Linked DNA regions of Styela clava. The protein of the gene in region 1 binds, or shares a complex with, the protein of each later gene. Links are inferred from orthologs where the notes say so. Each region holds a gene or a part of one and is shown in the gene's direction. Other genes may lie near its edges. The genes, in order: exosome complex component 10-like and exosome complex component RRP40-like.

What was found.
Region 2: exosome complex component 10-like (region 1) and exosome complex component RRP40-like share a complex: the UniProt entries of both Drosophila melanogaster proteins name them as parts of the RNA exosome complex. The link is inferred for Styela clava from reciprocal best matches to the Drosophila melanogaster genes Rrp6 and Rrp40.

Annotation. Positions count from the first base shown.
Region 1 is NC_135262.1:8,878,535-8,890,562, reverse strand, and holds exosome complex component 10-like, read left to right. Parts: upstream 1-6,613; 5' UTR 6,614-6,668; coding exon 6,669-9,050; 3' UTR 9,051-9,324; downstream 9,325-12,028. Other genes in the region: L-threonine ammonia-lyase-like, read left to right, coding at 657-800, 913-983, 1,664-1,835, 2,193-2,308, 2,627-2,789, 2,943-3,065, 3,373-3,551, 3,725-3,892 and 1 more. UniProt on the Drosophila melanogaster protein: Catalytic component of the RNA exosome complex which has 3'->5' exoribonuclease activity and participates in a multitude of cellular RNA processing and degradation events.
Region 2 is NC_135256.1:11,219,983-11,231,575, forward strand, and holds exosome complex component RRP40-like, read left to right. Parts: upstream 1-6,375; 5' UTR 6,376-6,411; coding exon 6,412-7,143; 3' UTR 7,144-7,566; coding exon of another isoform or gene 7,567-7,752; 3' UTR 7,753-8,560; downstream 8,561-11,593. Other genes in the region: uncharacterized protein LOC120328953, read right to left, coding at 1-124, 717-895, 1,499-1,662, 2,536-2,666, 7,567-7,752; putative protein-lysine deacylase ABHD14B, read left to right, coding at 8,619-8,727, 9,174-9,919. UniProt on the Drosophila melanogaster protein: Non-catalytic component of the RNA exosome complex which has 3'->5' exoribonuclease activity and participates in a multitude of cellular RNA processing and degradation events.

The DNA of each region.
Region 1 (12,028 bases):
ATCATCTCACTCCAAAACAAGCGCGTTTGCCATCATACAGCTATCTACCTCGACAATAACCGTGTTTGTGGCTACTAAAGCGTGGAGTATTCCGCCATATGTTGCTCACCCAAGTGCAGTCACAGATTTCTCCTCGGTCTGCGGTAGCTAACATCGATCGAAGACAATTTTAAATGTTGCATAAGCAGTTTTACCAGAGCTCTGACAGAGACCTCGAGCCATAGTGAAGCTCACGATGTGGTAATACCTCCGAATCGAATATCGATTAAAAATGCTCGTTTCTCTTATTAGATTATTAAATTAATCGATGCAAATCGTTGTTTATCTCTATAATAACTCGTATTGATTTGCATCGGTATTTTTTTTTATAACTTCAATTTTGTAGTTTATTTGAATGTGCAATCCCCATCTCTATTTGACATAGACTGGTAGCGGTAGGTAGGGTCATGTAGAATTACAGTCATAACATAGTTTTTGAAACTGTTATAGTACTTCGGTCGCAGGACCCAAGTTGCACGGAGTCTAAACGTTGCCTCGAAAAGGTGCAAGAGAATATAAAGCGACTATAATAGAAATGACAAAAAAATATTGGACACAACAGTAAGTTCAATTACGCCTTTTCGTTTGACAGGAACGTTGAAATCGAGACAATATCAATGGATGAAGTCCTTGATACCGATTATATACCAGAGTTAGCAGATCCATACTGCAACAAAGACAATCCAGTGATAGTGACGCCTGGAAGAATACTTGATGCCCGAGATAAAATAAAAGATGGAGTGGTACGAACTCCATGTACGGTTAGAACCATAATACTTAATTGGTTTGTTTTGAATTGTATATTACCAATCTCAAATTAGCTATGGTGTTGTTTTTTAACAGAATCATATTAATTGATTAATTAATTAACAGAGAACCAGACTATCGGATCGTATAGGATGCAACGTTTACTTCAAGAAAGAGTTCATGCAATTCACTGGAAGGCAAGTCAGAGTTGGTTCTAATTTAAATTTTTTCCTTCTGTGTTTTATACCTGATGTTTTGACTTCAAGCTTTTGCTTCACGTCTCGTGCCAATCGTCAATTACTAACGCGCGATAAGCACTGCGATAATTGTACATAATTTTAGTATCTCATATCATTTCAGTAGTCACTTTTTCTCAGAGATGAGGGTATCAGTACTCTTGAGTGTGCGCGCGTGACTTGCTTTGCTCAGTGGTTTAAGATTTATTTTTCGCTAGAAGGCTATTACTTTTATTTATTTTAAAAAGTTCTGTGGCTCTATGGGATTTGTTTTTTGTGTGATGACTTCGTCAAAATTAAAAGCTGCGCTTCTTGTGGCGGTTCCACTTTCGCGTAAGTTCAAATTCGCTGCTCAGCTGCGATACGGTACCGGTAGGCTACCGTGAGATTGCATACCAAATCGTGTCCATATGTTCGAGCTCTCTTGTTAACAATATAATTTGTTTTACTTACCTTCTGAAACTTATAGTACCACTATATATAAATGATTTCAGTATCTCATTGCATTATAGTAGTCACCTAACTTTTTCCAAAAGAGGAGTATCCACCATTAACTCACCATTAACTATTTTGACTCAATCATGAATGATTTTTATTGAATAATGAATTTGGTAATTATAATTTTATCTTTTTTTCTCTAGTTTCAAAGATAGAGGCGCATTGAATTCCTTGATGAATTTAACGGAAGAGCAAAGAAAGCTTGGCGTAATCACAACCTCCGCCGGTAACCACGCTCAATCTGTGGCATATCAAGGTGGAAAACTTGGTATACCGGTTACAGTGGTCATGCCAAAGACGACACCATTAGTGAAAGTAGGTTCAGTTTTGAGGATAATTTAAACTTCGCCAGATTTGGACGTGAGTTTTTCTATAGCTATATGACTACTTGAGAGGGAATCGGAAGTTCACTGGAAATTCGAACCGAGCTTATTGATCAACAAACGTTTATACGTCTTGAATCACATCACGCTATTACTTGAACAATTGAATCTTGCACGAATTCCTCAGCTATAGATGTTTGATAGTATAGTATTCTGAATTTGAACAGCCCCATTCATACAAATGTAGAGTGATTTATTTATCTTGCGCGATATCTTTCTCGATAAATGCTGTTCTGTTGGATTTTTTATCATTTCCGCTCTTTTAGTATTTTTATTTTCTGTTTCAAAGATTAATAGCTGCAAAGACCTGGAAGCAAATGTTATTCTTCACGGAGACAGATTTGACGAAGCAAAATTTCGCGCTCTCACGCTTCGAAATGAGAGAAATCTTGTCTATATTGATGGGTATACCTCAATACCACTACTTTGAAGCCACATCTTCATTGATGTTTTGATAGTCTAATTAGGGTCTCTCATGTTCGTGAGGTTGAAATGAGGATAGAAACTGCATATTTACGTTACTGTACCAAACCATAAGCTAATGTTGATTAACGCTCTTAACTCTAACTGCTCAATAGTCTAGTAAATGTCCAAATAATTCAGCCTACTGCCCATTATCGTCCACTGCCTTGTATATTCACCTAATATTGAATTATTTATACCGATACTATAACCGTCATTTCCCGCCGAGATTTTATCATTTTTAATATACTTTTTTTCAAGATTCGATCATCCTGATGTGTTGGCTGGTCAAGGGACAGCAGGCATTGAGATTATGGAAGACGTACCCGATGCAGACTATATTGTTGTTCAGATAGGTGGTGGTGGATTGATATCCGGAGTCTCGGTTGCGGCAAAATATATAAACCCGAATGTCAAGATCATTGTAAGTTTAAAATCTAACTGAATCAAATTCGTATTATATTAAATCTATTTATGCAATGAACAAGTGCAGGAAATTGTTCTCTTCAGGCATTTAATTAATGTTTGGTTAGTCGTCGCCGCGCTAAATCCTTGATAAAAAGTTTCAAATTTTAAGGGCGTCGAATCAGAACGATGTCCAGGGTGGCACACGGCCAATGAGCACAGACGACCAGTCAGATGTTGCAGTACTATGAATGGAGCTACGCAATCGATTGCAGACGGATTAAACGTTTTGAGAGTAAGTGGTATCATGTTAAGCGTCTTTCGGTGCTGTGCCTCAGCTTTGAATTGTCTGCCGGTGGTTTTTCGTCACAAGTTTCCGTGTTCCCCATTTATTCATTCACGCGCGAGTGTCTGAAAATCATTGTTTCAGAACAATTTCCTTCAGGAAATTATGTTATACGCTTGTCTGGCTATAAGAAAAGTGTGTTATATCTGAATTTAGCAAAAGGCATACTCATGCCTTTAGTCGTTATTGATGCCTCACAAATAATTGAGTCTTTTTCCGAATCTTATAAATATCGCAATTGAAAATATTTGTACAGGTTGGATATAACTCATTTGCAACGGCACAAATTGATAAGCTCATATCAGTTCCAGAAAAGTATATTACTACAGCCATACTACATTTATTGGAAGGAGAAAAATCGGTGGTGGAAGGAGCAGGTGCAATCGGATATGCAGCATTGCTTTCCGATAAACTACCTGAAGTAAAGGGCAAAAAGTGAGTTTCGGTGCAATGTGTCAGTAAATTCTTCATTGTGTTTATTGTTTCATTTAATAATATGTATAGTACTGCACAGTGGCGTTAGTAGTTTGCTTGTCATTAACCTGAAATCTAACGATAGCGAAACTTGTGCTAATTGCGAACTGAATTTGTCCTTTTCTTTCCCATAGAGTTGTATGCATATTAAGTGGAGGCAATATAGATGCAAACATCTTGACACATGTCATAGATCGAGCATTAGTACAAGAGGGAAGGCTATCACGATTTTTAGTGGCTGTGACTGACCGACCTGGCGGTTTGGCAAGACTTACAGATATGTTGTCTGATTTAGGAGCAAGGTAAGTAGGCGTATACAGATTGTTATGGCGCATTGATTTTGGAATATTATTTTATGATCCGTGCGCAAATTTGAGAAGGAGCAAACGATTCTTATGTTATCTTCGAAGAAATAAATATATATATATATATAGGGCTCGAGTGGAATGTGAATGTCATTTACTTGAAACGGTTGTCACATTGGTACTCGAGGTGTATAGTGCATTTTCACCACGACCAAATAGCGTCTGGCCGAATAGCCACTATTGTTTATTGTACGGATAATGGGAATGATGAGGGATGATCTTCAAATGCTAACAGAGTCGGGTACTATACGCTCTGATATATATATTCATTAAAATCCATTTTAATTATAAACTGAGAATTATCATAATTATATATAGTCCACCCCTGAGCCAGCGATTGAATGATGGGATCTAAAGATTTCATGATTGGCATATGTATATTTATAATATTCTATATAGGGAGGCTGCATGATGTTTATTTGTTTTAATGATTTAATCACTGTCCATATATCATAACATTACAGCATCAAAGACATTGGTCACGACAGAATGTCTTTGCCTTCTCACGTCTACATGGCGGCAATTACCTGCACCATCGAAACCAGGAACAAAGGTCATGCAAAACTAGTCCGTGAACAACTAGAACAATTTTACAAAAATGACCTCAAGTGGCAACAATTTCACGATGACAACGCACTTCATTAAGAAACCAAAAGTGTCGATGAACAGTGGAAATATAGTAATATAATATATTACAGCAACATACACCTCAGAAAGCAGTGATGTTATCAGACGCATATATTTAACCAACTCTGCCTCCTAATCAAATCTACGAGTGTCCATATTTTGCACATTTCTGTGTAATTTTATAGACTTGATCGCGACCTTTTAGGTTATTTTTCCATTGCTTATCTTTTCATGCTTTATTTCTATTTACTTTATTACAACTGGAATCATAAAACAGTTTAATCAGCGACAGACCCAATATACCAATAGTTTATTTTTGAACTCGAAATCACACCATACATAGAAAATTGGCACAAACAGCACAAAACAATTTGACTTTTTGGAGTACTGCTGATTGCTGAAAACTAGACTAGACTTTAAAAACGAAAAATTACGAGCAGTCACACCTTAATAAAAAGAAATAAAAGCAGGTTTTATATAAAATCTGGCAGTCATGTTAATTGTTTTCAAATTCTTTTGAACCTAGCGTTTTCAACTGAAAAGTTCTCCCGTTTCATTCAGACATTTTTGCATTAGGTAGGGCTTTCATACTTATTCAGGAGCTGAGGAAAGCCGATAAGACAACTCAACCAAAAATCATATGACGAACCACGCCCACTTGCTCGTTCACGAGTCTATGTCAGGTACAAAAATAGTTTACTATTAACTTTTTAAGATGCGTTGATAGTGGATGAGGACCACCCTACGATGGTGAGGATTCCGCCAATCCTCTCGCCAACCGTTGAGGCTATCAAACAAACCATTCGTAGGCCATTGAATATCTACCATACCATTGTGTTGAAGCCATCCGGGGAATTCTCCTCACGAGTGAATCCCAATCGTGAGCGCATTTCGAAAACGAGAGGAAGGTCATTTTAGGCAGAGCACTATATTAATTATATTTAATCATATTACCCCTCAACAGCCACAAAGTATATCTAAACATAAAATTTTAATCCTGATTCCTGATCCTGAGTTTGTGTTGACTGGAAGTAATGATAGTGCCGCTGCTTGAAGGCAATACGAGGGTCCTCGCGAAATCTGTCCCACAATTAAAATTAGTTACCGTGATTTTTTATATTCAATGTTTCTCATAATGTTCTTATATTGTGTTGATAAATAAATGATTATCAATTGATTGTGAAAATGTTTGCTTTACCGGTGTGTATGTGCCTCACTTTCGCTATCATATGAAAGATCTGCCGAGTTGCCTCCAACTAACCCTTCATATTTACAAATGTGGTACTGGTACAGTTCACTAATTATAATAAATGCTTTTGCAAATAGCCTCTACATATACTTCTAATAATATATGTTCCAACTAAGTCAAAATAAACTCATAATGTACTTACCGCAGGATTAAGATTAAAAGGCATGACGTCGGTTTCGTGAACGGCACGTGCTTGAGTCTATTGGTCGAAAGGTAATGTTGCCGAGAATTTCTGGTTTTGTTGCAGGAGCATGTTTTCATAATTCTGTAATTTACCCGGGTTGGCGATTTTTTCTATTTATTTTTTTACTTCGAGACGTTTTCAAAATCAGCATCTCTAAACTAGAGTAGCGCACACTTGCTAAGTTAGGAAGATAATTTTTCTAATAGCCTAATGTCAGAATAGCCGAATAATTCGCTTTGCTCAGTGACTGCAATAAATATCAGAATATCTTGGGCTTGGGTGAATCTGTAGGCTAAATTGATTTTGCTACATACTGCTGTACTGACATACGGTACGGTTTTACTGTTAACCACAACATACATTCATATCTTTATCTGTATTGTATCCACTATCCTATCAAACGGTGGAACGTTAACCGGTTCAGACTGACACAGATATGCTGATACTGTGATATGAGATTTTCCTGCAGTCAGGCATTGCAGGAGTCAGGAAAGTCACGGTACGGGTACACAGTACGGACTTGAATCAACCACAGTCTGAGCGTACACCTGTACACAGATACCAGTAGATCTATACTTCAAATATATTGAGCCTGTAACTGATTATACGTTTTTTATTTCAGTATTTCAAACATTAAAAGGAATAACAGAATAATGGATGCTAATTCTGATAAAGGTTTTGCCAGTGGTAGTTTGGGTGATGTTGATGAATATTCAAAAAAAGTATTGAGTGCTTTAATGACAACTATCAAAGCAAGTAGTAGTTTGCCTCACTCTTCAGATGATTTCGACTTGTACAGCAGCTTTCCTGGTTTTCGCGCATTCTATAACAAACAAGGTTCAAGGATTTTATCAAACATCAACTCATTTCTACATCATCAAGGAATAAAGACTTTGCCACAAACTGATGGACAAACGAGTAGTGGTAATGTTGATGTAGATGATCATTACGATCGTATTGTTGAAGCAAATGACATGATGTTGGAACAAATATCCACATTATTAGAACAAGCTACTGCACCGAAAAAGGACAATTCACAACCAGATACTGATGTCGTTATTCAGCAACCTCTAGTTTTCATTACGAAAACTAAGCCGATTGTTTCGTCATGGAACAGAGAAAATAAATATGGCAAACAACAAACTTTCAAATTATTCCATGCACATAATATTATGAGGCCACAAACGAAATTCAAAGATAAAATTGACAACAGTAATCTACCTTTTGTTCCAAAAATTACAGAGAAACCAAATGCTGTGAAACAGTTACCGAAAGCTTTAGTAAATTTACATTCACAATCATCTGATGGTGGTGTTTCACTTGCCATTGTCAATTTGGTAAGACAAGGTAGAGAATATAACGCAGAAGATCAAAATATATATGGTCACCCATATGAAACGGAGCTTGCAAATTTGAAATTTTTAAACAAGCAGCTTCAAAGAGTCGAACCACAAAAATATGATCCTTTCCCATCAGAGCCATGCGAGGTTATCACGAATTTAAATGAACTGCTCGATGTTATTGAGCACTTGAAAACTTGCCCTGAATTTGCAGTTGATCTGGAACATCATTCCTATCGATCTTTCCAAGGTATAACCTGTCTCATGCAAATATCGTCGAGATCAAAAGACTTTTTGATCGATACATTAGAACTACGATCAGAAATTCACAGATTCAATGAAGTATTTACAAATCCTAATATTGTAAAAGTATTTCATGGTGCTGATTTTGATGTGCATTGGTTGCAGCGCGATTTTGGAGTGTATGTTGTTAACATGTTTGATACTGGTCAGGCCGCAAGAGAAATGTGTTTAGGGCATTTTTCTCTTGATTATTTGTTGCAAAAGTATTGTGATGTTCATGCAGATAAAAAATATCAACTTGCGGATTGGAGAATCCGGCCGATACCAGAGGAAATGAGAAAGTATGCGCAAGAGGATACTCATTATTTGTTATATGTGTATGATATAATGAAAAATGAACTTCTGGACTTGGGTGCCACAGGTCAAGCTTCTGGTACTGGTACCACAAGACTCCTCAATACTCTATATAGAAGTCGTGATGTTTGCCTACGAAAATATGAGAAGTTTCTACTTACGCCTACATCACATCTTAAATTATATGAGAGACGGAAAAGCAGAAAACAACTTAATAACAAGCAACTTGAACTTCTGAAATTGCTTTTTGAGTGGAGAGACACGATGGCAAGACAAGAGGATGAAAGCCCTGGTTACGTTTTACCTAATCATATGCTTTTTCAAATTGCTGAAATCATGCCCAGAGAGGCACAAGGAGTACTTGCATGTTGCAATCCAGTACCACCTCTTGTCCGTCAACATGTTCATGCAATTCATCAGTTAGTTTTGGAAGCAAGAGCAAAAGGCTCTGGTAAGAAGACAGATGCATCACATATCAGCACACCGACTGAAGTACCCGTTCCAGCAAAACCTGATGAAGATGCTTATGATGATATATTGACTTGCCCACATGACTTATCTAATTTTGATCTTTCTACACCAAACACTAAACATAAACCGCCGCAAGTATCGACTGCTCCACAATCGTCATTTCTCTGTAACGACGGTCGTCCTCAACCATTACTTACAGGTCAATCTAGTAATCCAACCAGTCATATGCAAGAAGCAAATTGGGATCCATTTTCAAAGTATTTTCCCCCTAAAAATGATTTGCCAAACGCACCAACAAAATGTATAACATCTCTTGACGATGTGAGCTTGAAAACAATGCTGAGTCTTGAATATGCTTGGAAATTGAAAAATCTTCATGGTGATAAACAAGAGCAAGCAGAAGAGAAGAAAGTTGTACAAAAACAAAAGCAACAAGAAGAAGATGTTATTATATTAAGTAATTTACCACAAGTTCATGGACAGAAGCGTCACCCACAACCAAATCAAGATAAAAAGATGTCGAGACATGCCAAAAAGAAAGCGAAGAAACTTGCAGTAAATTCGGATATACAACCATTTGAATATACCCAAGAGCATTATAAAAGATTCCATTATCATAAAAAATGACATTTTCGGACATTATCAACCTACTGTCATATTCTATTATGGAATTAATGTAATTCACAGCTGTCCGTAATGTGCTGAATAGTAGTGAATATGGAGAGATGCTATATCAGATCCGTCTGGAAGATAATAAGTGGTACAGATATTTCTCTGTTCAAAAAATTTTAATTTGGATTCACCTACTCTTCTCGACTGCCAAAATTTTTGCATGCACTGATTTAGTTCATTTAATGAAATTCACTGTCTTTTTGGCCAAATATAAAGGAAATATTTACAATTTTTCCTTCATGTCGCATTGTGGATAGTATGGCAAAGTATTAACATACCCTGTTGGTATTGTGTAGTTTTGGATATCAGGATAAGGGGGGTTTTCTGATAGACATTAATTTTTGTCTTGGCGAGTCATGGGGTATGACGCAGGGGCTAAGGGACACGAAGCTGGATAACCTATGGTAAAGTCGAGGTTTTGTTTGGATACTCCCGTAGTATGTGTACCGGATTAGGCCTCAATTTTCTTTATTTTAGTTCGGGACTGTCTTTGTTATCCAAGTGAATATCCACCCTGCCCATAGGGGTTCAGTCTCTTTACACGACTTGATGTAAAGTAGACGAACAAAATTATTTCCTCCATATTGGTACACATAGTTCTGGAGCGCTGTTGTTTGTTGGTCTCGCTCCATGCTCCCACATCTACCAAAAAATAGAGATCCATGTGTTTAGTGTCAGCTTGTCAAGAGCCTTGTTCAGAGTATAGAATCCTAATGGAATTAGGTATTACTGATGTTGGGCCTGTATTCGAATCCGGAATTGCAATATAAGATAACGTTAAGTAATTAATTATTCAGGAAGCAGTTTAACTATGCAGCAAACTACAACCCCATCTGGATTCGAAATTTGTTTGCTTGTGGGCGTATAAGACGAATACCTGCTTTCAAGCCGAGTCCAGCAGCTGTAACCAATGTTCCTTCTAATTTTTTGTAGTATATGTGCGCAGAAATTATTTTTGGTGTGCGCATTTTTTTGGAAATCACTAATATTTGTGCAAAAACCAATAAAGAAATTTTGGCGTTCTAACCGGGTAATAAGTGGGCCAACAACAAACTTTCTCAACCTGCCAACCGAGCATTTGTTACATTACATCGAAATACGTCTGTGCGCAGTAAATCTATGCGTGTGCGCAGCCTCTGTAAGCTGTGTGCACGCGCACACCTTAGAGGGAACACTGTCTGTAACCCATGATTATTTTTTTCACGACATTTACGATAGACAAAGCTCAAGGTATATTTGATCCATCTTATCAGCCATTCTCAAGGAAGCCAGGCCCAGATTCCATTACAGACAATCTTTTTTAGCACTGATGACAAACTCAATATCCTTTCTACTAGTCAAGACATAAATACATATTATGGAACCATCTCATTCAATTGTTTAAACAGCAATCAATCAAACAAATCATTCTATTTCATGATGAATCAATACCGAAATGCATGTATGTGAAAAACAAAGTGTTATGTAAATATGCTTTTCTCGTAACTTCAAGACGGGCAGAAATACAGCCTCTGGACTTTAACAAGCATGATTTTAATCGAAGGTTATAGCAAGCCCACAATTCATCGAAGATGAAAATATGGCAATGCCTAAATTGATATTGCACAAAATGTTAAGGCGTACCGTTATAGAATAAGATAACAAACGAGCTGTATTTTTATATATATATATATATGAAAATTATAAAATAATTAATGGTATGTTAGATCAGGGGTCACCAAACTACGGCCGTCATTTTATCCGGTCCGCAATAACACGCAAAAATGGCTAAATTTTTTTCCAAGGAAGATTTTCACGAGCATCGTCGTCCTTGTTTATTTCGTAACATTGGCCAATCGGCAAGATGCAGAAAAGTGACGTAATAATAGGCCTTTCCGCATCCGCTCAGACACTTTTGTCACCCTGACAGATTTTCAGTTGTGGTTGTAAACAAAACTTCGTTTTTGCGACTTTGAATGCTACCAGTACGTAACGTTTTCTGCGATACACTTGTACACTCGTGGCGCTTGCTTTCGACGAAACTGTTTGTTTTTCGTGCTAAAATAAACGTCGAATGTGCATTTTGTGCTAACAGTACTGTAATCCCTCGCGTACTGCTCCAATTTCAAAAGCCACACTAACTTTTGTACTGCTTTAATGCGGATATTCATGTAGGTATGTTACAAAAAAATGGAAGTTCATCCGATTTAAATAAAAACTGCTCCAGTGGAAAGATCTGAGTAAAAATAGAAAACAATACCAAGTTTGGAATAAACGGTCAAGAAATAACGGAGATATCGGAATTTTAGTACTGCCCGACAGCCAATTTTTTCCATAATGATTGTCTTACTTTTTTGATAAGAACTGTACTAAATATGGAAAAATAACACATATCAATCACTAATCTTTCGATGTGCGTCACATCTATGGTATATTGAGATAATTTCAGGATTTTATTCTGGCAACAGTCATTGACACCGCCGAAAGATCGTCGCAAATAAACGCTGGAGTTGTGCATGATAGTTTGACAGTGGTTCATTGTGGGTAATAATTAACGATGTTCTGATTGTACGAACTTCATAAAAATTGGTAAGTATCAAGTTAGACAAGAAATACACACGTCCATATAAATTTTATTGGTGTCCGTAGACAATATCAATAATTTGCACTACGTATAACTGGAGCGTAATTTTTAAAAGCGTCGAATGTTGGGAAATTTATGCGCTAATGAAAAAATTCAAATACCAGATAATAGTTGTTCATTTTATCTAAATTATGTCAAAATTTCATAGAATTCCAAGCTACAGCAGGCAGTCGTTTTTATGAGCGGTATTTCAACACGGCGTAACGGTACTTAGCAGACGTGATGCGTACAATTTTTGCCGCGGATTTTGTAACATTTCTAATTCATGACAGCAACGTTTTGATAACAGCTAAACTCAGGATAGTTGTCT
Region 2 (11,593 bases), on another chromosome or scaffold:
CCATCTGGTTTATTGAGAGTGGCGACTGTATAAAGAGAATTACCCTCTGTATACATAGAACACTGGTGGACTCTTTCTCCGGGCAACTTTTTCCTCATAATACGTCGGAAGACGTCGCCACCACCTATAGAAAAAAGAAAATACATTACACTAAAGTCTCAATCAATCCAAAACACAGAATCAATCCAGTGGCGTCAAAGAAAACAGTCATGTATTTCAGATGCATGGAGTTAATGGCGGGGGAAGATTAAATAGACCAGCGGTTACGTAAAGCACAATATGACGGTATGTGTCCGGCAATCCTCTTGTCCTCTAAGAAATATTTTCAGCCGCCATACTCGGTTGGCACCGAGCTCTCATCCATTTACTGTCTGTTTGTTCTACAAACGAAGAAATTTTTTTGTCAAAAAATGTTCCCATTAATCTCATTTAGATGGATGTTTTTATATAGTCATACTTGTATGCACATTGTAATAAGTATATTAAAATCAATAGTGAGTATTTCGCGGCTTTTTGGTAGTCACTCACCTGTAACTCTAGGCGCGCGTCAACTTGCTTTGAGCAAAATCGAATTTGGATACGTATAATATATATATATATCGTTTTGGTAAATTTCGAGTGAATTGTCTGTCCTATTTTGCAGATGGTTTCACTTTCGTGACAATGTCTCCACTAATCTTAACATCACTCAAACCTTCTATTTTTAATCTACATACCAGGTGTTGGCTTATCTTGAAGTTTATGAACAACAATCACAGGAGTTTCTCTTCTATTTCTACCGTAGCATCTATAAAATTCTCCTTGCAATTCGGCGAAGCCAATCGTATCGCCGTGTCTTGTTTGGTCAAACAATTGCGTTGTGTGTGAACGTCTGAATCTGTTATCTTCGCCGAGTCTAAGTAGGAGAGCACGAAAAACAGAAAATATTTATCAAACATACGAATTGGAAAGTTACAAGATATTATATATACAAGTACTATATTTTAGTATTTTTCCACGGTCAAATGCTCCATCGCAGGAAAACTGTAACAATTTTAGGCAAGATTTTTCTCGTATATATATAAAGGGTGACCATAAAGTCTTCATTGTTTCAAATTGCAAAGTGAAGTAATCGATACCATAGATTGTTCTGGCCCTCACAGATGTATTGAATGAAGTAAAAATACTTAAATAATTACTGATTAAAAAACAAACAAACCTAGTTAAGATATATTGATTACTGACTTTATACCAAAATTGAAACTGTAAAGGGAATTCATGGACACGCTGTATATATAAATACATCCGTTCGTAGGGACAATTTATTACCATTCCAATTTAGACTTGTATTTATGGAATATTGCGATAAACATTTGTTGTCGAATGTAAAATATTTCGTTAACGAGACAGCACTTCCATCGCCAGGAAAAATCACTCCTCATATTCTATGTATTGTTGCGATTGAATCTCAATGACCTGGGCACACTCAAAAATTTTATATGTAACATCTTCCATTTACCTGAACATGGTAACCGGTCCAGCACCTCCGACCATCAACCAAACTCTACCGTCTGGGGCAGTAAGAATTTCGACGATTTCAGGTGATGAATAGTGGAAAGTCTGAAAAGGAGTGTCGACGAAGCCTTCGTCTCCCCATCGAAATATTTTGACTTCGTTTCCACTCTGTAAAGAAAAGATGCAGATGAAGGTGGAAGCAATCGTAAGACAAAAGCACGACCCAAGTAGTCAGACCTGAACCAGTGGGGAAGAGGTAAATTTACGAAAACGAGAATATCGGTCAGAGACCGAAGACTTATCGATCGAAAGTTAGGCGATTCCCCAAAACAGCGCTCTTACTCCATAGTTACACCTTGTGTTCGATCACTAATTAATTAATAAGTCGCTAATAATACGACATAATTCATCCAAAATCAATAAGCTTCTGGTACGACATATGATGAATGCACATGCAAAATCTGGAGCAGATTCAATCTCGCTTTCGTGAGATATCGCGTGCATCTAACAGACAGACAGACAAACAAATACCTATCAACATACTTAGCGATTAAAATCGATACGTAATAATAGCAGCAGACTACCGGTACCACAGTCTTCAGAAAGCTACCAATGCGAACGCGGAACCGCCACAAGATGCGCAATTTTTAATTTTAATGACGTCATCACACACACACACACACCACACAAAAAAAGAATCACAAAGGGCTCACAGAACCTTGTGAAATAAATAAGACTGATAGCCTTCTTACAACAAATACAATCTTTAACCACTGAATTCGTTCAGTAATTGGAGAGAAAAGCGATTTTTTTCATAACAACAAAAATACCAAAACGATCTATAGGCCCATTTTGTGTCCAATAATAAAATTTGTTAAGGATGTCAAGATGACTATAGATTAGCCTATATAAGTATATTGATGACCGAGCTATGTATGGAATAAACAAATGTCTTTCAAAAACATTGACAATAGTCTGAGCTGTCAATGACAACTCGATTGTAATATAAGGGGGTCGAATTACTCAGACGTTTCTTCATACCTTGTCGCCAGCAACTAGATAAACGACTCCATTTTTACGGAAGGATGCGAGGCCGTAGACTTCTCCGCAAGGTAGTGTTTGATGTTCCCGGAATTTAAACCGAATCTTCTTTGTCTGGCGAGTTGACGCCGCTGTAATGAGTCAAAGAATAATGATTGATTATTGTAGACTAGTATGCATCTTTAAGAGGAAATGTAAACAAGAATTTTCTTCGACCGAGGCGGTGATATAGAAAGCAGTTTATAGGACATTGGATCGTGAAAAATTCAATTCTTTCGTAGTTTGAAGTAATGTTCATCGTGGCACAGATTACAAAAAAAATCTGTTCGAGATGATGCCAAATGCAATGCTAAATTAAACTAATTAAACAAACTATAGACTAGCGCTTTCCAACTGGGGTTGACTTGAAAGTACATTCCAGGGGTTCCGCGAGTTTCCGAGTCTATTTTCATTGTATATATATATATATATCGTTCAGATTAAATAAAATGCCTATTAGTTTTGCCACTTTTATCAAACTTGCTACACTTTTCATTATAGATCTTTTATTTTTGTCAATATTAGGTTTGCTTCTGCATATACGGTATATATATATATATATCAGTGGCGGCGCGTGGTCATTTTGACAACCGGGGCAAGCTACTGCGGGACCAAGTCACCCCCATCTACGGGGGCAGGATGAGCGCTGTAAGTTCTCTTATCATTTTATGAGTATAAAAATCATTCCATCGGTAACAACCAATCGGCAAAAGCGACAATTTTTAACGATAAGAAAGTGTCTTTAAAACCGGTCCAAGTCAAGGGATTAATAAATATAAACATAGTTTATTTTATCCAAAAATACCCATCATCGTGCCCACGGAGGGACAGCTCGTGACAACCAATGAACTTCAAAACATCTATCAATCGACCGAGAACATGGCGGTTTTTCTCGACGTTTTGGTTGTGCCGACGAATAGAAACCGCGCGTCCTTCATCCAACTGTGCTGCAATATTAACATTTCCGAATGTTCGGTATTTTACTGCATTGTCCAGATGCTCCATAGAAGATTGATGATCCCTGGCACGCTCGGAAAGATGTTTAAGATCTCCAAAACCAAATTTACACCAACGTGAGTCACGGGCGGTAGCAAAAAGTAGGCAATAAAAACAAAAAAGTGCATTTTTGTCCTCGCTGTAACACAACCATTCGTGTTTTTTATACCAAGTTTCTGCGCAGAATGTACGCCGACGCTTTCCTCCGTCATGGGATTGTTCCAGTGAACAATTTTTTGGTTGATAAGGCCCAAGACGTTGTACCTCTAATTTTTGTTCCAGCGGCAGCTGCGAAAACGGAGTGCGAAGTAGTGCATCAACCTTTTTCATTATGAGGTCTAAGGCTAAGAAATGCGAAGCCGGAAAGAAGTGAGGAGCTCAAAAGGAATGTGGAAAATCGAAAGCAAATGGACTCAAGGTCTCTAACTGATTCAAATAGCGAAACAAGCGACAAAAACGAAGGCGAGGAAACTATCAACTCTTCAAGCAACCAACGAACGAGAAGGAATGCGTGAATATGTCAACACGTTGTTGTAAGAACGTCGGCATTGTGTCGTCATAATTTCGGGGCTAGCCCCGATGATTTAGTAAAAGAAACAGAAAACAAACGAGACAAACGCGGCGAGTGAAAGATAAAAGAGAGAATACGATATACAATGAGCAACCCGGGCAAAATCGGAGTCGCCCCGTCGACGTTCGGCGAAGGCTTTGCGAGCGAAAAATGAACCATGTCGGGAGAATATGGCTAGTGTAGACAGTCTGTGCAACCGATATTGAGGTATTTTTCGAATATTTTTTATTATACCGAAAAAACAACCGGGGCATTGCGGCATTGCCCCGGTTGGCTCTATTGACGCGCCGCCACTGATATATATATATATATAAGTTAATGCAATCCTGACAATAAAACTATTTCACATGGGTTCTGGAACGTTTCATTGGAGTATCGCCCCACCAATGAGTATGAGAATTGCTGCTACAAAGAGACACAAATTAGAGTAATCTGAGGTGTGAACAAAACTTCTGTTATTTTTATCTATTATTGTTCTATTACATAGCAGCGAATAAAAATTAAGTAATAAATAATCCTCATTTTAGTTTAAATTGTGTGTATCTCACAAAAATTCAGCAATTGATCGTCTTGACGTAATAAACATCAGCATCGGTTAACAATTGACAAAAAATATTTTCATTCGTAACGAAAATTAGGAAAGCGTTTTATTAAATCCAACAAAAACATTATACGGTAAAACACGCAATACGCGGTAAGGTAGATCAACATCGACCGCAAACAGTACCAGCAAGTCATCAAAAGGCGTGGCTTCGCACACACGTGGTTGTTCTGCGCCACCGCATTGGCACAATTAATGTTTGTCGAAGCGAAGCGAGTCGTTATTATTTACAATAGTTATCGAAGATACTCGGCTGTTCAGTAAACGTATAACGTTGTTAGACGCTGGGAAAAGCGGTCGGTTTTATCAGCTACACAGGCTGTAATGTATGTAGATATATGTGAAGTTAATCTACTGGTAAAATCGTGGCTACATATCAAATAACACAGAATATAGTTTTAGCCGCGGGGGCTTTACATAAAGGTATTTCTGCAGAGATGAAAAGTCTCTATTTTATGCCAAACTGATATGTCAGTAATATTTTGCTGTATTATAAGGTCTGAAGGTGTATTTATGTATTTCAGAAATTAAAAATTATGTTCAGTATTAAGCATATAATAGTTTGTGGGATTTTATCAAATTGTTGAGTAATAACGCCAGACCAGATGTTGTAAGCAGTATTATCTCAACTGTACCGGTACTCTTAAGTCTGTAAGTACTCTTATCATATGCTGATAGGATTGTATAAATGTATGGTTCTATATTACACCAGCTCTATTTTAGTCTGTTGTGGCTTATTGCCCATATTCATCACTGTCATACAATAATTAAAAATTAACAGAATTGTGTTAAACATAACTAATATATGATTGAATATTTTAGGATAGGATTTACATATTTATCCCGGGGGAGAGGAAGGGCGATGAGATGGCTTATCCATATGGCGAACCACGGCCATTTTACATAGTAAATTTATTATAAATGTTCCATTGTTTCCTATTTTAAATGCTGTGTATCTGAATCAATAAAATCATTTTACAAGTTTCTATGTTATTTACTTTCTGTTAAGTAGTGTCTGCCTCTATTGTTACATAACAATAGACATGCAATTTCACGAGCTTTAGTTTTTTTTGATCTGCTGAACTGAGTTTAGCGAACATGAGAGATTTTTAAACTTTTTTAAAAAAAAATCAGGCAGAGCTGAAGAAGAAGAGTTGACTTTTTGCCTTTATTCCTCATGCCTACCATTTTACAAAGTTTAAAGGCATAAAGTAGACATTAACTATTACAAAATTGAGTTTTATCAAAGGCAGCATTTTTTTTTCGTGAGAGCGTGCCGTAAGTTTTGTCCCTGATAATTTGGCGTCTCACAAACAAAACGTTTGGAAACTTCTGGACTAGGTATTTTTTTCAATTAAAATTTGAAAGAAATATTACTGTATTATATACCATTTGATATATTCTGAACAAGAGTCAATGAAATTAATATACATTTTCAATATTAGATGAAAAAGGCAAAATTTTGTGCATTATTAAACCAGAAGACCACTCATAAAATTGTATAATCACCTAGTCGAAATAGCAAAGATTCATTTTTTTTTTTAAATCGGACCGATTATTCCGGACCACATTGTTCTTACCCGTTTGATCTTTGGTTTTATTAACACCAATTTTCTTCCTTCCATATAGTATTATTCTTACCTAGCCTAATTTAAGTTCACTGTTAAAAATGAAATGTCCAGCCAAAGAGTTAGATGCAAGTGTTGTCATGCCTGGTGACATCATAACAGAACAAGTATTGGATTTAATCGGCAAAAATGAAAGAGTAAAACTCGGACCTGGTCTTAGACAAGGGAATGACAGTATTGTCGTTTGTAAGTCTGGGATTCTACGACACAAACAGCCTAGCATGTTTTGGATAGACAGTCATCAGAAACGTTATGTTCCAATTAAGGGTGAAAACGTTTTGGGGGTTATTGTTGGTAAAATTGGTGATGCTTACAAAGTAGACATTGGAAGTAGCGACTATGTCGTTCTTAATAATTTATTTTTTGAGGGTGCTACGAAACGAAATCGACCGAATCTTGTAAATGGAGATATAGTATTTGGAAAACTAATATCTGCAAACAAAGACATGGAGCCGGAATTGAGTTGCATTGATCAAAGCTCAGGAAAAGCAAATGGAATGGGTCCTGTACCTTCTAATGGATTGTTGATAACAGTTCCACTTAATCTAGTTAGGAAAATCTTATCCCCTGATTGTGTTTTGTTGCCAGAAATGGGGAAATATTTTGGTTTTGAGACCCTAATAGGAATGAATGGTAAAATTCACCTAACAAGCCACAGTGATAAACATATTATTGCTATAATGAATATGATAACAACAGCTGAATATATGACAAATGAACAAATTCTAGAATCACTAAGTTCAAATACAGCAGACAACTGGCAAACTGCTTAAATACTCGTTAACAAAATGAGAAACGAGCCTTTTTCTACAAAGTAACTGGTGACAATAAAGAATGACAATTAATAATGCTGATTGAACTGGAGTATTGTCATTGTGTTCAAATATCCAATGTCATATTTAAGTAGTTTCAAGCATTCATCTTACATACGAGTTGGTTATATAACCAATCTTTACATAATCATATCATAGCCAAGGCAGAGTAAAGTCACGGCAACTTTTCATTGTCAGTGTGGTTAATATAATGGCAAATTTGTTCTATTTATGCAAATATGCTCTGTTTCTGGGATAAACCTATGTAGGGCTCTTATAACATCAGTGGTCATTATGGATTTTCTGTCAATACTTTTTCACTTTTAGTTAAAAGCTTATTAGTTTGGACAAACATACATGAAAAAATTCAGTAAGTTTAATTACCTTTGCAAACAGCAGGCTGGCCCGACCAAATTCCCTTTTCCATGCAAGTGTTGTACGAACTGCCAACAAGTTTATATCCATTGTCACATTGAGTGGTACAACGAAGAGCTCTTCCTCTTGGTAAATCAATCATTTTGCATGTACGATCTCCATGTAATGGAACATTGAGATGCTTGCATACAGGAACTGTAAAAAAAACATACAATTGAGAATGCGATAATCAAGGAGAAAGAATTTTTTTAAAAGCTAAATTCTCTGTATTATAGCATATGCATGTTGCACCTATTTTACATGCTTGTTGTGATGCTAATATTTATTTCATCGTTTCATGCTTTGTATCATGTTACATGTATACCTGTTGTTAAACAACATTACCATCCTGCGGGAATTTTTTAATTAATTCTTGTTGTTATTGCTAATTTGTGTGGGCATACCAATGTCTCTTAAACTACAGTAATTATGTTCAGAACCTGTTTTAGAATTCTTTTCGAGATACCTTACATGGATAGATATGTTGTTTATGAATAGGGTGTTATATTTAGCTTCCTGATTGGATAAATAACAGATAATCAATCATATTCAATTTGCGAATTCTCTTTGAAAAGGTTGATGTCGTGGTTTGACTGCCCTCAAGTTTCAATCAAGAAGCTAAAATTAGGTGTTAGTGAGAATGTACCCATTATAAGTTCATAGTCATATAATTGAAATATTCCATTTTTTCAGATATTATCTGAACAACAGGGTTATCCATAGAATAACAAAAACATCAAACAACTCATGCGTATTGCAACACTCCTAACAGTCTAAGTAACTGTTTTGCTGATTTTTGAATAAAAAATACCCTTTGTAACCTTGAAAGCTGATTATGTTCTTATAATTGGCTTTTAATATTCTTTAAGGTCATGCAAAATTCTTTCTCCCATAAGAGGTAAATGCGCCTTTTTTAACACTGTCAATATTTCTAGGTTAACTGTCTTATTTTTCACTTTCAAGATGTAATTCAGGTGTTTAAATATAAATGCTTGGCATATTGTAAAATAAACAACGCAACCATGAGTGCGGAGGTAAATAAACGAGGAGTGGTATTGACTTTATTAATCCTCTCAAGTATATGTTATATTTTATACTCCAACAGTGATGAAATTCAAAGCGATTCAGCAAGTAAGATTTATTATATATTGGTTTAGGTCATCCACAATACATTTATAAGTAACCTATACAAAATTTGTATTGTTGTTTGTCCAGAATGAATCAGACAGCAAGAAATCAGGTGTAAAAATATTTAACCTGAAAGATCTATATCTTTGACAAAAATTGTCACTGAATTCTTATCTTTAATGACATAACATTATGTATGACACTTATTTCAGGCCTATTTGCTCCAACAAGGCCCTCTATAATCAGCCCCTGTTATGTATGAACCTTCATTTTTGAAAGAACATAATTCATTCTGGATCAACATTACCTACCTAACTTATCACACGCTCGGTAGGTATGTGGGCAAAGGTTTTAAACCAAAGATGTGTAAGCTGCAATGCCAACTTAGTTGGCCCCGTTTTGACCACAATAAGTGTAAATTCAAAACTATTTTTTCTATTGTTTCTCAGTTCAAGTGGATGCACTATCGATGATCAAAGCAAAACAGAAACTTGATAAATTAGGACCTGAGTTGGCTGATAATGAAAAGGACGAAGTCGATCCAGAAATAGGACTTGACGTTGAATATGTTGAAGATTTTGTTTTAATTGATGGAATCAATGTGTTTTATTCATATGCAATGAGTACGGTAAAGAATCAGCCACCACCAAGGTTTGCAGTGTTATTATTACATGGTGCGGCCTATGAAGCAAACACATGGAAGTCACTAGGAACGTTACAGTTTCTTGCGAAATCTGGTTACTTTCCTATTGCTGTTGATCTTCCTGGTTTCGGAAAGACAAAAGCAGACAAACGCATAGATCATGAAGATGCTTTTTTGTCAAAGTTAATTAAAGCATTACCTCAAACAGACAGGCCTGTTATTATTTGTCCTTCCATGAGTGGCAGATATGCTTTGCCATTCATGTTTAAACATAGAGCAGAACTACGTGGCATTGTACCGATTGCACCAATTAATGGTAATCATTACAAGAAAGAAGAATATGAACAACTACACATTCCTGCTCTGATTTACTATGGATCATTAGATGAGCATGGTGCTAAAACTAGTAATCTCATGGCCCATATTCCTGGTAGTAGGATAGTGGAGGTCCCAAATGGCATGCACCCTGCTTATTTGGATGATTTAATCCTATTCCATACTGAAGTGAAAAATTTTCTCGATAATGTTTATAAAAAAGAAATGGCTTCTTGAGTGTGTCTGATTTTATTTGCACATATTATTATATGATGTTTCCTAATTGGAGCAATAATTCTACAAATAACAGCCTTGCTTACATTATGGATGGTGGAAATGGTACTATAAAATACATCTAAGCCAGTATTTGGTTCAAAAATATAACAAATGTAATCCGATTTTATTTGCACATATTATATGTTTCCTAATTGAAGCATTAATTATACAATAACAGCTTTGCTTGTATATGGTTGGGGGAAATGGTACTATAAAATACATCTAAATGATTTCTAAGCCAGTACTTGGTTCAAAAATATAACCACTGTAAATCTTTTCCTCGTGGCAGAAAAGCAGTACATTTTTATTCAACTTAAAATATTCAATATTTGCGCCATGGAACAAAGGAATTTTTTCTAATACATTTACAATAATCAGGCAATCCATTTTGAAATATCTAGTTTGTGAAATTTTGAATTAGAATGTGCCTTGGTTTGAATCTAAGTTTTGATTTCCAAACAAATTTTTGGATTTTTCAACGACAGCTGCATTGTTTTCATAAAATCAAGCGAAATCGCTTTTTACAATTATTCATGATATTTTTTTAAAATGTATGTTTTCCAATAAAATAAAAAAATTGAATCACAGTTTGTCAACCTACATGGTATGGGTTTAATTTCATGCGATTGATTACGACATCAGTAAAATTGCTTGCCTGCATGGAACTGATTATTTCGTGAAATCAACATAGGTAGGTAAAAGAAAGCAGTGACTCTCAAGCAGGGGGCGTGTTGACAGTTTTTTGAAGTGGCGTGAAGCTAAATAAAATTATGGTTGTTAGATTGGATCCTGCCCGCCTTATTTTGGATATTTATACTGGATATTTATGTTCCATCCACCTATTTTCAACGTGTTATTTTTTTTTTTTAATAAAACGTACTTTCTTTCGCCCTGTTATATCTCTGTTATTTGTAGCTTATTGTTAGCTAGTTATTTTTGAGGTGGGGCGCAAGATGGACAAGTTTGAGAGAGCTATTACCGTAGAGAAATAAAACGACTAACAAAAATGATCATTCTGAATACCTAAATTGTATCAGATAAAGTTTACGGACACAAATGTACAGATGTACTTTTCTCCACAATCGTAAATATAGTGTCATTAGTTTTTAACGGGGAAAATCGACAATAGACTCCGGGTCATAAAAAATTACGATCTTAGCTCAAGAGAAAAAACATTGTCAAGAAGTCTCAGTAAATTGCTCTTCGAATTTCCGAGGAAAGTTTGACTTTGGTATCATCATTGAAAATATGAAATTCAGACTTTCTAGTCGTTAAATAATTACAAATAAATGATGGAAGCAATGTCCGTCGGTGGTCGCCGGCGAGTATCAAATCACGAATTTATGCGAAGCAAATCAAAAATGTATACTCTTCGAATATATTTTCTAACAATTTTACAAATTATTTCATCCGGTTATTTTTTTGCTAATTTTATTGGAACTCGTTTTTGATTACCACAACATTTGTGACCGGAAGAGTCTGTTTGTGTCGTCAACACGAGAGCAATGCTCAAATATATGGCCACGAAAACCAAAACGAAACAGTAGTCTACTTTACCTTTTACACTACCGGTACCGTCAAAAAAGTTTCGACTTTCGCGTAGCAAGAGCGTAGCACGAGAGAGGTCGAAAAACC